Tamandua tetradactyla: one gene and its partners. The protein of the gene in region 2 purifies or fractionates together with the protein of the main gene of each other region. This does not show direct contact. Links are inferred from orthologs where the notes say so. Each region holds a gene or a part of one and is shown on either strand. Other genes may lie near its edges. The genes, in order: CTNND1, CDH5 and JUP.

Region 1 (3,744 bases), on a different chromosome or scaffold from region 2:
AGTGAAAAAGACGTTAAACTTTAATTTTCTCTGAAACAGCTATCTCAAATTAGGGCATCACAAGCATTAATTTTCACTGGCTGAGGGAAAAACTGTTTACACTCAGTTAATAGAAAACAAAAAGACTAGTTTCATCTGATTATTTTGATTACCCACAGTGAGTCAGGTCCTGGTGTAGATGTCAAGGATAATAAGATAGACATGTTTCCTGCTCTTATAAAGCTTACATTCTAGGATGGGGAGAGAAGATTAATAAATAAGTAAGATAATGTCAGATGGAATGCTATGCGGAGATTTAAAACAGATTGATGAGACTCCCTTGAGGCTTACTCTAGATAGGATGTGAAGGACAAACCCTCTGAAGAGGTGACTTTTAAACTGAAATCTGAATGATAAGAGGCCGACCATGAGAGGATATGAGCAATGGTAACTGCAAATGCCAAAGCCCTGAGGTGTGGGGCTGAAAATACTGCGTTGGGCAGAACTTGTCAGAAACAAGGATGGAGAAATTGATGAGGATCAGAGTATGAAGGGTTCTATAGGTCAGAGTAAATAATTTGGATTTTATTCTTAAATAGAGGAAAACCTGTGGGGTTAAACAGAATAATTACATGATCTAACTCACGTTTTGAAAAGATCTGGCTGCTTATGTGACAAACAGATTAAAGAGTGGGCAAACAGTGAAAAGCAAGCAGACAAAGGCTGTTGTAGGGGTCAAACTGCAGTGTTGGGGTCTTGGACTATGGTGATAGAAGTAAAAAAAAAAGGAGAGAAGTTAATGGGTTGAGGATATATGTTTTAGAGACACAGGGCTGTTTTTGTTTGAGATGCTTCTTTTCTCCTTTTCTGTCTCTGTTTCTTGTTTTGTTTTTTGTTTTTAATGCACGAAATATTTCAGCCAAAGCTTGGTTTTGCAACTCTCAAAGCTTAACTCCCCCACGCACCACCATCACTACATACATACATACACAGAAACACAAGATACCATAAGATGGTGAAAAATTAGGGGAGAACTGAGAGAGTGGGAAAAAGGTGTTTAAAAAAGAAATATTAGGGTGAGCCACAGTGGCTCAGCAGGCAAGAATGCTTGCCTGCTATGCCAAAGGACCGGGGTTCGATTCCCGGTGCCTGCCCATGTAAAAAAAAAAAAGGAATATTAAGGTTATTACACAGGGCAAGGTGCTGTGCTGTATCTTCTAAAATAAACTAAAACTAGAAAGGCCAAGGAGTGGAGATAAAAATAATTCAACTTCAAAAAATCACTGGCTATCCCCGTAAAGGAAAACAAAATAGTTTTACTCCTCTCTACCCTCTGGTAGCTACACATTACTATGTGTAATGTGTAAAAGTTTGTCATTTTGGAAGCCCTGGGTAGGACTGGCATTTATCATTCCCTTTAGAAATTCCACCAACACAAGATTTCACTAAAATGATGTTAGATTCAAAATAAAAACAAAAACTGATTCCTCCCGACTTCTTGAAAATTAATTTAATAGTGATGGAAATATACCCATAAGGGGATGTAATATTTATATTTTCTTTACAACTTCCACAGAATCACATATACTGATCCTCTGCCAGCCTAATCAAGTTTTGATTCTGACAGCAACAGAGGCCAAAAACAAGCATTGTTCTTCTGCCTTTCTTTTGGGGGTGTGTGCTGCTGACAACTGCTAAATTCCGCTAAGTTTTATGTCCTTTCACAAACTGCTTCCTCACCAAACTGCAACCGACAATGTCTTCTGTTCCTCCTTTCTTTTTCCACCCTAAGAGCAGAAGCCTCAAACTAGGGAAAAATACCAACCACTTGACTTAGAAATATCCCTTCCCACCGCCTCAGCCCTCCCATATGTCAGTGTGCCACCCCCAATCCTTTTTCAAAAGGGATTCGATATCGATCCACTTAAGATCTACTTGAGCACACTTCACTACTCACCTCTCTCTGGTCTGTGCTTTTCCAGGTTCCCCTTCTCTTGGACATCTTCCTTTCCTGGGCCTCGGTGGCGGCTGCTCGGTCGCAACTCACCACGCTTTGTCACCAGGGGTTTTGGACTCGGCCATGTGCATCTAGGGCTGGACGCCACGGGACATGCACCGAGGGACGATACCCCAGACCAGGATCCCGAGCTTCACTCACACAAGGAAACCGCTGGCCAGGAGCTTTCGCACGCAGCCTGTCATTCCGTGCAAATGCTTAATCCTGAGATCATTTCCTTTTGAGGACCAGTCCTGAAAACACCTATTCCCAGACAGACACTGCGCTACACAAATCACCTCTGGAGGAACCACGCCTGAAGGGAATTTCGGGCAATCCTCTTGGTCACCAGTTCTCCGGGGGCCGGGGCTGGGAGTAGATTCAGTGAAACACTCGAATTCAAAACTAGCCCAATGACCTTGTTCCAGAACATTCCTGGCCTTGGGAAAGGAATGTCTGAGCTAGAGGGATGCGGGCCGATGTGTGAGAGAGAGACCACCAAAGACTTTTTCCTCCATGAAGCCCGCAGCCCTTATAGCAGCCTCTTCCAGGGGGAAGAGGGAGCTGTCCTTCAACCGCCTCGGGGCCTGTGACCCTCTTTCCTGGGTGTCCTCCTCGAACTCAGAGAACACGACGGCTTCCCTGAGGGTTCCTCCCGAGCTGGCCCTGGCCATACGTCTCTCCTCAGCCCTCAAGTCCCTCGAGAGTTAGCCTCCCGCCCAAAGCTCTCCTCCTCCTGTGATTGGCTCTCCGTGGAACCTCCAGCCAATGGGGAGGACGTACTCAGGCAGACGTAGGCCGGCTTGGGGGGGGCGAGGACGTCGTCCCCCGCGACGCTCCTCACGCGAGGTAGGCGCGGCGCGTGACTCGTGGTCTCGCCGCGTGGCCTCGGGCGCTAGCTGTCACCGCTGCCCGGTGCATGTGGGCACCGTGGCCCGTGGCCGTACGAACGCACCAGGGAGTGACTGCAAACCCCATGTGGCCTCGAGGTGGCAGTGAGGGCGAGCCCTGAATCCCGGCCCCCAGGATCACCCACGCTCCATTCCCAGAAACCTTCGCGCGCCGAGAGGTCTGTCTTCAAAGGAGTTGGGCCCGGGGCGTGCGGGGCGCCCAGCTTTGCAGGGCCTTTCCTGAAGCCCCGTGCCGGCAACCCCGATTCCCTTGGTTCTGGAGGTGGAGGGGCACTGCCCCGGCCGTCGGCCTACCTGTGATGCTTTGCTAAACCTTTCTGCGGAGAGGCTGGACTTTGGGAGGCAGCAGGGCAGGCTGGACAGAGGACCCAAGCACAGAGAAAACGGCAAGAGTAACTCCTACTGCAGATCGATTCCAGGTTAGGCCTGGGGACAAAGCCGTTTGTCCGTGGGCTGGAAAGCTTCCCCAGGGCCTAGGTTTGGGTCCTTGGGATAGCTGCCAGATCAGTTGGCTTTGATCCAGTTGGCTCTGATCAGTTGGCTCTGATCCGAGTTGCCCTATCCTTTCCTGTCCACTCTTTTCTTTCCTGACAGTTCTGACCTGAAGCATTAGAACCCTCGGTGCCACCTGACAGAAAACTGCATGCCAGTAAAGGGACACAGCTGTGCAGTGAGTGTGGGAATTTCAGTGCAACCAGCTGGAAAAGTAGGAATCCTGAAGTCAGGATTTGCAGTTTGTTTGGGGAGGGATAGGAAGCTTAACTATCCTTGCCCCAGGATAGTTAATTCACCACTAAGGAACCTTAAGGCCAAATTATTTGCCAGTTTCCAGTGTCATTTGGGTTCACTGTGTTCAGG
Region 2 (3,744 bases):
ATCTGCACTTGCCTGCATGTGACTGTTACTGCTGTGGCCCAAAGCAAAAAATTTGGGGGTCCCTGAATGAGCTTAGAAACTTTGGGGTCCATCCCTTGCTCTAGAGAGATAGGAAAACTGAGGCCCAGAGTGTGGAAGGGCTGTCCAAGGCCCCATGGCATCTGAAGCTCCTGTTCTTCCTCCAGGCAGCCCTCTGTGATTTCTCCATGTGACACCAGCTTAGGCCTGGGTTGGCATGGTGTTTTGTCATCTCCTTAGCCAGACCCCAAGCCCCTGTGTGCAGACCCAGTCCCCTAGGACATTCCTTCCTCAGCATCGTCAGGTTCCTGGCTCGTCCTCCTGCCTGCTTCTGTGGCCTGAACAATCAGGTTCATGTTTCCCTGACTTTCTTTCTCTTTGAGTTCCATCTGGGAGTGTGGCAATGGCTGTGGGGTCAGAAGGGACAGAGACTCATTTGTGTCCTGCTCCCGCCTTGTACTAGCCGTGTGGCCTCAGACTGTCCCATCTGTCAAATGCAACTTCTTGCAGGCATGCCTGGGGTTGCAGAGAGGTGATGGAAGTAGGAGGGATGGGTCCACCCAGGCAAGAGCCCTGAGAATTTTCCTGGGCTGGTGGCCGCTGTGTCCACTGTGCGTCCCCAGGCCAGCAGCAGAGCTATGAGTCATCCGACTTTGGGAGAAAATACGTATGGCCCCTGCAGCTTCCTGCCTTCATGTCCGGCTCTTGTTCAGCAGCACAATTGGTCAGGTGGAGACCGTAGGCAGCTTAACCCCTTCCCAGGCGGTAGACACTTCTTCCCCATCAGCTGGGATTGGCAGTGCTGTTTGGGGGCTCAGCAGCTCCTTAGACCCTCAGAGGGGCACCTGCTGCCCTCCAGGGTGGGGGTTTACAGGTGAGCTGGGTGCAGGCCGGGCAGAGGAGACACTCATGGCTGCCTGGGCTGGAGGGTGAACCAAAGCTCCTGGTCCTGGCATGTGTGGTCTGCAGTGCCACCAGTCCTGCCTCCTCTCTCCCTGGTCTAAAGAACACTTTGGCTACACCAGACTCCCGAGTCCTCTCAGCGGCCTGGGCTTTCCCGGCTCCCCAGGCATGCCCTTTGTCTCCTGCCAGATCCTATATGCCCAGCACACGCGGCAGGAACCGTGTCCTGCCCTCGCCCCCTCCGGAGGATGAAGGTGGGTGCTGAGTACAGGGCCGGGCATGGAATAGTTGCCCTCCTGAAGTGCCTGCCAAGGAACGGGTGACTGGCCAGCGTCTCACCCGCATCTCCCAGCGACCCCCTTGCCAGGGGCGGGCCTGGGGACCAGTCACGACACCCTGGGCCGTGCCTCAGGTGCCAAAAACACCTTTACAACATTCACAACCATGCCAGCCACCAGCCACGATTCCTTAAAGGTCCCCCTTCTGTGCACTACTCACATGCGGGGGGCTGAGCACCCCATCATTTAACTGACTCCTGAAAAGACTCTTTCCTCCGTTTTACAGAAAACGGACTTGTAGAAGCTACGGGGTGCTGGAAGAAGCCTGAATTTAGGGTTCTAGTTCGAATCCCCCTCCACTTCTTACGTCTCCACAGCTCTGCTGCCTCCACCAAGAAGGCTGATCATAGTAAAATAACGAACCCCATTTCGGTGGGCGTCACCTCTAGTTCTCACAATGGATTGCAACAAGAGTCTGTCTCTCTGTTGTTCAGACAAGCAGACTGAGGTTTGGAGGCTTCAGGTGACTTTCCCGAGGTCCTGGGGGAAGTGAGGGGAAGGCTGAGCTCTGCTCCCAGGTCCACTGTCCCCAAGCTGGGGCCCTGCAGGTCTTCCGGGCCTCCTGGAGAAGTGAGGCCACAGGGCCTCAGGCCCCAGCCCTGGGGATCTGCACTTTGGGGGGGGAGGGGTAGGGGTGGGCGGCTTTCCTGACAGCAGCTCTCATGGCCTGAGGGGACCTCTGTGGCGTTGGGGGCAGGGAGAAACCACAGGTAGGGCCTCAGGAGCTCAGTGCTGAGCCTCGGCTTGCCTATCCTGAAAATAGGGGCACTGGCTAGTAGAGATGGCTGAGGCTTAGAGCTCCCCCTTTGGGGCTCCTTCGCCCATCCTTGTGCAGACCTGAGACCAGTGGGAGGGAGTGAACGGGGCTACAGGCCGAGGTAAATCCTTTCCTGTCGGGGAAGGAAGGGACGGGGAAGCCAGGCCCTGGGTGCCAGTCTTCTACCCTTGGTGTGCCCGGTGACTCGGGGACAGTCCCATTCTCTCTGGGCACCAATAGAACCAGTGGTCTTCGAGGCTCAGTGGGCCCCGGGGACCACGCCGAGCTGGGGAGCCCATCTGTGGGTGGGCTGAATGCGCCCCCCCCCAGCACCTAGAACCGCTGTGTGTACCTGCGGCAGGCACCCTTCCCAGCTGAGCCTGGGGAGGCCCCTTCTGCCCTGGGGGAACCCAGCAGTGTCCATTCCACAGATCGGGAAGCTGAGGAGCCTCCATCCTGGGCTGGGGGTGGGGTGGGGTGCGGGAAGCCCTCACTCACCGTGCCTGGGGGCCGAGCAGGGCCTCTGTTCTGTCTGACCGTCTGTCCTGGGCTGTGTGTGCTGTGGAGCTCGGCCGACCGCCTCTCGAGGGGAGCCACACCCGGCCCGGCGAGGGAGGCCGGGCCGCCGCCCCTTCAGGTTTTCCAGCTGGCCTGGACCCACTTCCCCCTGGGATGGCTTCCTGTTATTGTTCCTTTGTGAGCCGGGGCTGGCTGCAGATAGGCAGGCCCGGCCGGGCTGTCCCCCCGAGGCCGAGCCTGGGACCTGGCTGAGGGAGCTGAACTCAGACCCCCACCTCCAGACTTCAGGCTCCGGAGTCCAAGCACGGCACTTGCCGAGGGCCTGGCCTAACCCTCACTGTCACCCTGAATGCAGGAATCCTCACCCTCGATTTACAGCTCAGCGAGTTTAGGACGCTTGTCCACCTAGCTGGGGTAACGTAGAGCTCCAAATCAAGCTTGAGACTTCTTCTGGGACCTAGGATATGCTGGGGAGCAGGGGAATGAAGAGGGGTGACTCCAGGCAATGGGGAGAGTTCAGGGGCCTCAGGGTTGGGGTGAGTGGGAGGCAGGAAACAGCCACTTTTGGCTCTGGAGAGACCGGTGGGCCCCTGATGGGGATGGGGGTGAGTGCCAGCTCTGAGGCGCCCACCACTGTTGGGGTTTAGTAATATTGGGTGGGAGCCAAGCGTACTGGCTTTGCTTCTGGTGTTCCATGGCCTAGTAGTACCCCTCCCTGAGCCTCAGCTTCCTCATCTGTAAAATGGGCATATATATATATGCCTCAACTTCACAGGTTATTGGGATAAATAAGAATCAGAGCAGGGCTTAGAACATAGTGATGCTGAGGGTGGGAGGGGTGCCTGCCTGGGGCCTGGGGGGTGCAGTGGAGGTCCAGATTCTGTTAGCTGTGAGAGCCATCTGGGGGCTTTTAGAAACCACAGGTACCTAGACCTGCCGCTCCCTCCCCCCAACCAGCTGATCTGGAATCTCCCTGGCCAGGCCCTGGGAATCTGTCCTTGGCCTAGAGGCCCCTGGCTTTCCATAGATGAACGGTGGGAAATCCTGAGCTTGTCCCATCATACAGCTGGATAAACAGAGGCCCTGAGAGGGGGGCCCGGCCCCAGGACTGTATGGAGATGCGGGATGGGCTGAATTGGTGTTTGGGGGCGGGGAGGGGATATAGATTTTTCTGTTCTGGGCATGTTAACTTGAGGATGCTTGTGAGAC
Region 3 (3,744 bases), on a different chromosome or scaffold from region 2:
TGAGGGCTGTTAATGAAAGTGCTTGGTAGCTGTAAAATCCTCCCTTATTTTTAAATTTTAAAAGTTACTGTTTATCAAGTACTCCCTGGGCAGATAGGTACTATTGTTCCTCATTTTGTCAAAGAGGTCACTGACACTCAGAGAAGGGAAACGACTTGACTACGGTCACATAAGTAATGAGTGACAGAGCCGAGATTCAAGCCTAGCTCAGGCAAAGTCCAAATCCCTGTGCTGAGAATTTTACCCCACTGAAATGCCTTTTCCAGTAACCACCCCTCAGCAGGCCAGTGCGTGGCTGTCTCCTTTTCCAAGAGCTCCCGGGCCGGCAGAGCCCCTCCCCTCGTCTGTGCTCCCTCCAGGGGCCTGCAGCGAGAGCCCAGCCCCAGCCTGACCTCCTAGATTCCTACTCACAGCATTCTCAAAATCTCAGTCCTGGCGGCCCAAGCAGGGTGCTAGAAGGTGGAGCTGGGGGTGGGGTGGGGGGCGGGGGCAAGTGGAAAGGGTTCCTATCACCCAAGCTGGGGCTTGATCCAGCAAGAAATGACTAATCCAATCCTACCTTTTCTTTCCTTCTCCCTCCTCTAATATCCTCCTCCTCCCCTCCAGCAAATAGCCAGCTTTCACAAGCACCTCCTAGCAATAGTCCTGAGTATTATCTTTTCATCAAGGCCCCAAACCAGATTACCTAAACGAATCATCCGGCCAATGTAATTACAATGCCTTCCCCTCCTCCACCAATGCACTGCGAGGAGAAGCGAAAACAGGATATTTTTGCCCAAACTCCAGGCCCCTGTGGCTCCCAAGAGGTGTAGTTCCCTACCAGTCCCTTCCCCAGCCCGGACTACTGCACAGGAATGAGCCCTGGGGGAAGAGGTGGGGCTGAGTTACTGGTTTGAGACCCCCTCCTCCAACTCTCCATCCACAGCCTGGAACAAGGCGGTGGCATCTTCCCAAGCGGGCCTGGGTAAGCAGCTGGGATTCTCCCCTCTAATCCCCACTTCGATCCTAGGACTGAGGGAAAGATGGGTCTTACATATCCCCACCCCACCCCCAAGGACTGGACTGCTGGACTTGTAAAAAAGCCACACCTCGGGTTTTTAGAAGGCAGCGTGGAAAGCCTGGTTGAAATATCCAGCTTGGGTGCAGGAGTTGGGAGACGTTCCTCAGGAAATAGGGGGAAGAGGTTCGGAGGGGACTCTGCTCCAGAGAGCCTAGTGTCGAACAAACTTCCCTCCAAAAGCATTCCTCCTGTCCCACTTTCGCCATCAAAATCTCGCAGGAAGGTGGGGTGGGTGGTAAAAGGGCTGCAAAAGCTTCCAGAAGGAATGTACCTTTATACTTCAGAAATCAAGTAGAAATCAAGACCCATTGCTCCATGCTCTTCTGCCTCAATTACCAGGCAACTAAAGAGCATGAGGGATGGGTGGAGAAAGAAAAAGACAAGAACAGCCCATCCCCGTTCCCAGTCTGGCCCAGACCTGCCCCACCCCCCATTCCTGGGATGGGGGTGCCCAGAGCTCGGGAAGGAAAGCCTCCTCCGAGGGGGTGTGGTGGTCCCAGGAGGCAGGAAGAGAAGGAAGAAGCTGCTTCCCCTTTTGGCCCACAGCCCCCACCCCAGGCCCCACCTCAGGCCCCTGGGGCCCAGCAAACAGGATGGAGGCTGGGCTGGGGAGGACAGGGTCTAAGCACAGGGCTGGCCCTGGTCCAGCCTGGGGCCAGCTGGGGGAGGGGCTCTGCCCTCTGCAAGAAGGACCCCAGAAGCCTGGGGTAGTTCTGGGCAAGGAGACAGGAAAACCCCCAGAGAAAGCAGCAATGAATACTTCTTCCTAGAAAGTTTGCTTTGAGTGATTTTTCCAATAATAAGATGTTAGAGAAGAAGGGTAGTCCTGTTTCCATATTAACATTCTGGAAGTCACAGCTACTGGAAACTGGGCCAGGTGACCTCTCTGCTCAGATTCCCAAACACAGACCCCCTCCACCCAGACAGAGCCGAGCCGCGGGTGCAAACATCAGCTGGCGCAGACCCGACCCTGCACAGCCCCACGGTCACCCCATCTCGTCTCCCCTGGGAAGCCGTAGCCCAGCGCCCACGGAACGGAGGGAGGTGCCCCAGGTACAGTACCGACCGGGCTCCGGGAGTGGGAGGGCAGGGCCTCTGGCCTCCTTGCGCTCACCTGCTCGGCAGGTGGGGACCGCGTCGCTGAGAAAATGTGTGTTCGGCCCCCAGAGTTGGGCAAGCCGGGCGCAGACAATAGGGCCCCACCCAGGCCTGGGGGAGGAAGGAGGGAGGGAAAGCGAGGATGACGCGTGGGGTGGGGTGAGGGTGGCCCCAAAGAGACCAGCGACAGCAAGTTTCCCAAACAGTAAATTTCCCACTGTAGAGTGAGTGCGACCTGGGACCCAGGCACAGCTGGCCAAAGCCTGCTCGGAAGGCGCGGAGAGAGAGGCAGGGACCCGGCGTCGGGAAAGCTCTGCGGCCCCCGACGAGAGCGCGACCCGGGAGGCACCTGCCCTGATCCCTCCCAGCCCTTCTCACATCTCCCTCTCCTAGAGTCCCAGTCGCGTTCGGACCAAACCTCGCGCCCCTTTAGTCGCCGCGCCCAGGTCCCAGCGCGCCCCCTGCCGCTGGTGCAGGGTGGCGCCCCCCTACCGCCCTCCCTCACCTGCCCTGAGTAGGCTGGGAGCGGCCTCCCTGTCCCTAGCCGCCGTTTCTCTCTCCCCAGTGATACCTGCCCCCGATCGTCCGCACCTGCGTATGAAACCTGGCCGGGCAGGGTCGGGGACGGGCCGGGATCGGGGCCGGCGCGGGAAGCTAACTGAACTCGGCGCGCTCGGGCGGCGGCTGCTCCGGACTCTGGCCAAGGCAGCAACTCAGTAACCGAACAAAAGGCGAAGGGACCTGACAGCCAAGACACGCCTTTCGCCCCCTTGAAGCTCCGCCCCCCAGGGAAACGCCCACCCGCTGAAGCGAGTTAACTGGCTGCCGCGCCTGACAGTCCCAGCGAGGGGCGGAGCCTCGCGCCCAGTTTTCTACCACGGCCGCCTCTGTTTATCCGCTCGCCATTGGCCCCAGGGACTGCCAGTCGGCTCTGGGGACTGACTCTTAACTTCAGGTCCCATCCTAACTCCGCACCTACTGGCTAATAAAAGGTTACTTCCTCCTGATTGGGCAAGGGGTTGTCAGTAAGACTCAGGAAAGACCAATGGGAGAAATGGGGTGTATCTTGCCCCACCCTAGCTCTGAGCAGGTAAGACTCATTTACTCTCCCCCCTACCTGTCCAACAGGTGAGTCAGGGAGCGCCCTGGGAAAGGACAGACGCCTTCAGCGGCCAGCCAACTCAGCTACCAGCCAACTCAGCGTCAAGCATGATGCTTCTTTGGGCTTATTCACCCTTGTTCCAAAGTAGTAATAAAATATTTGTATCGCATTTCTGAGAGTTTTTTGATGGGTTGGGATTTTTCCCCAACAAAAGATGCCATGCTCATGGGATTTAGAATTAGAAGGCCTGGATTTGGATTCTGCCACTTATTAGCTATATGATGTCTAAGATGGGTACATTAATTATATCCATCTCACTGGAGTATGTGGAAGTTAAAAGAAGTAAGATTTGTGATAGCACTTGGAGAACTAAATGTTAGACTTTAACTATATGTTTTTTTAATTCTCAATACAATTCTAAAAAATTGTTAGGGCAGCAGAACTATGTTTTATTTCACAGATGAGGATACTGAGGTTCAGAGAG

The links.
Region 1: the proteins of CDH5 (region 2) and CTNND1 purify together in Homo sapiens (affinity purification with western blotting; 3 studies listed by BioGRID and IntAct, counting the BioPlex papers as one, with this or other methods). This does not show direct contact. The link is inferred for Tamandua tetradactyla from reciprocal best matches to the Homo sapiens genes CDH5 and CTNND1.
Region 3: the proteins of CDH5 (region 2) and JUP purify together in Homo sapiens (affinity purification with western blotting; 3 studies listed by BioGRID and IntAct, with this or other methods). This does not show direct contact. The link is inferred for Tamandua tetradactyla from reciprocal best matches to the Homo sapiens genes CDH5 and JUP.

Annotation. Positions count from the first base shown.
Region 1 is NC_135335.1:19,845,339-19,849,082, forward strand, and holds the start of CTNND1 (catenin delta-1), read right to left. Parts: upstream 2,659-3,744; 5' UTR 1,982-2,658; coding exon of another isoform or gene 1,937-1,981; intron 1-1,936. UniProt on the Homo sapiens protein: Key regulator of cell-cell adhesion that associates with and regulates the cell adhesion properties of both C-, E- and N-cadherins, being critical for their surface stability.
Region 2 is NC_135342.1:59,935,617-59,939,360, reverse strand, and holds the start of CDH5 (cadherin-5), read right to left. Parts: upstream 2,615-3,744; 5' UTR 2,515-2,614; intron 1-2,514. UniProt on the Homo sapiens protein: Cadherins are calcium-dependent cell adhesion proteins. They preferentially interact with themselves in a homophilic manner in connecting cells; cadherins may thus contribute to the sorting of heterogeneous cell types.
Region 3 is NC_135332.1:25,405,292-25,409,035, reverse strand, and holds the start of JUP (junction plakoglobin), read right to left. Parts: upstream 2,910-3,744; 5' UTR 2,730-2,909; exon of another isoform or gene 2,724-2,729; intron 2,285-2,723; exon of another isoform or gene 2,123-2,284; intron 2,114-2,122; exon of another isoform or gene 1,984-2,113; intron 1-1,983. UniProt on the Homo sapiens protein: Common junctional plaque protein. The membrane-associated plaques are architectural elements in an important strategic position to influence the arrangement and function of both the cytoskeleton and the cells within the tissue.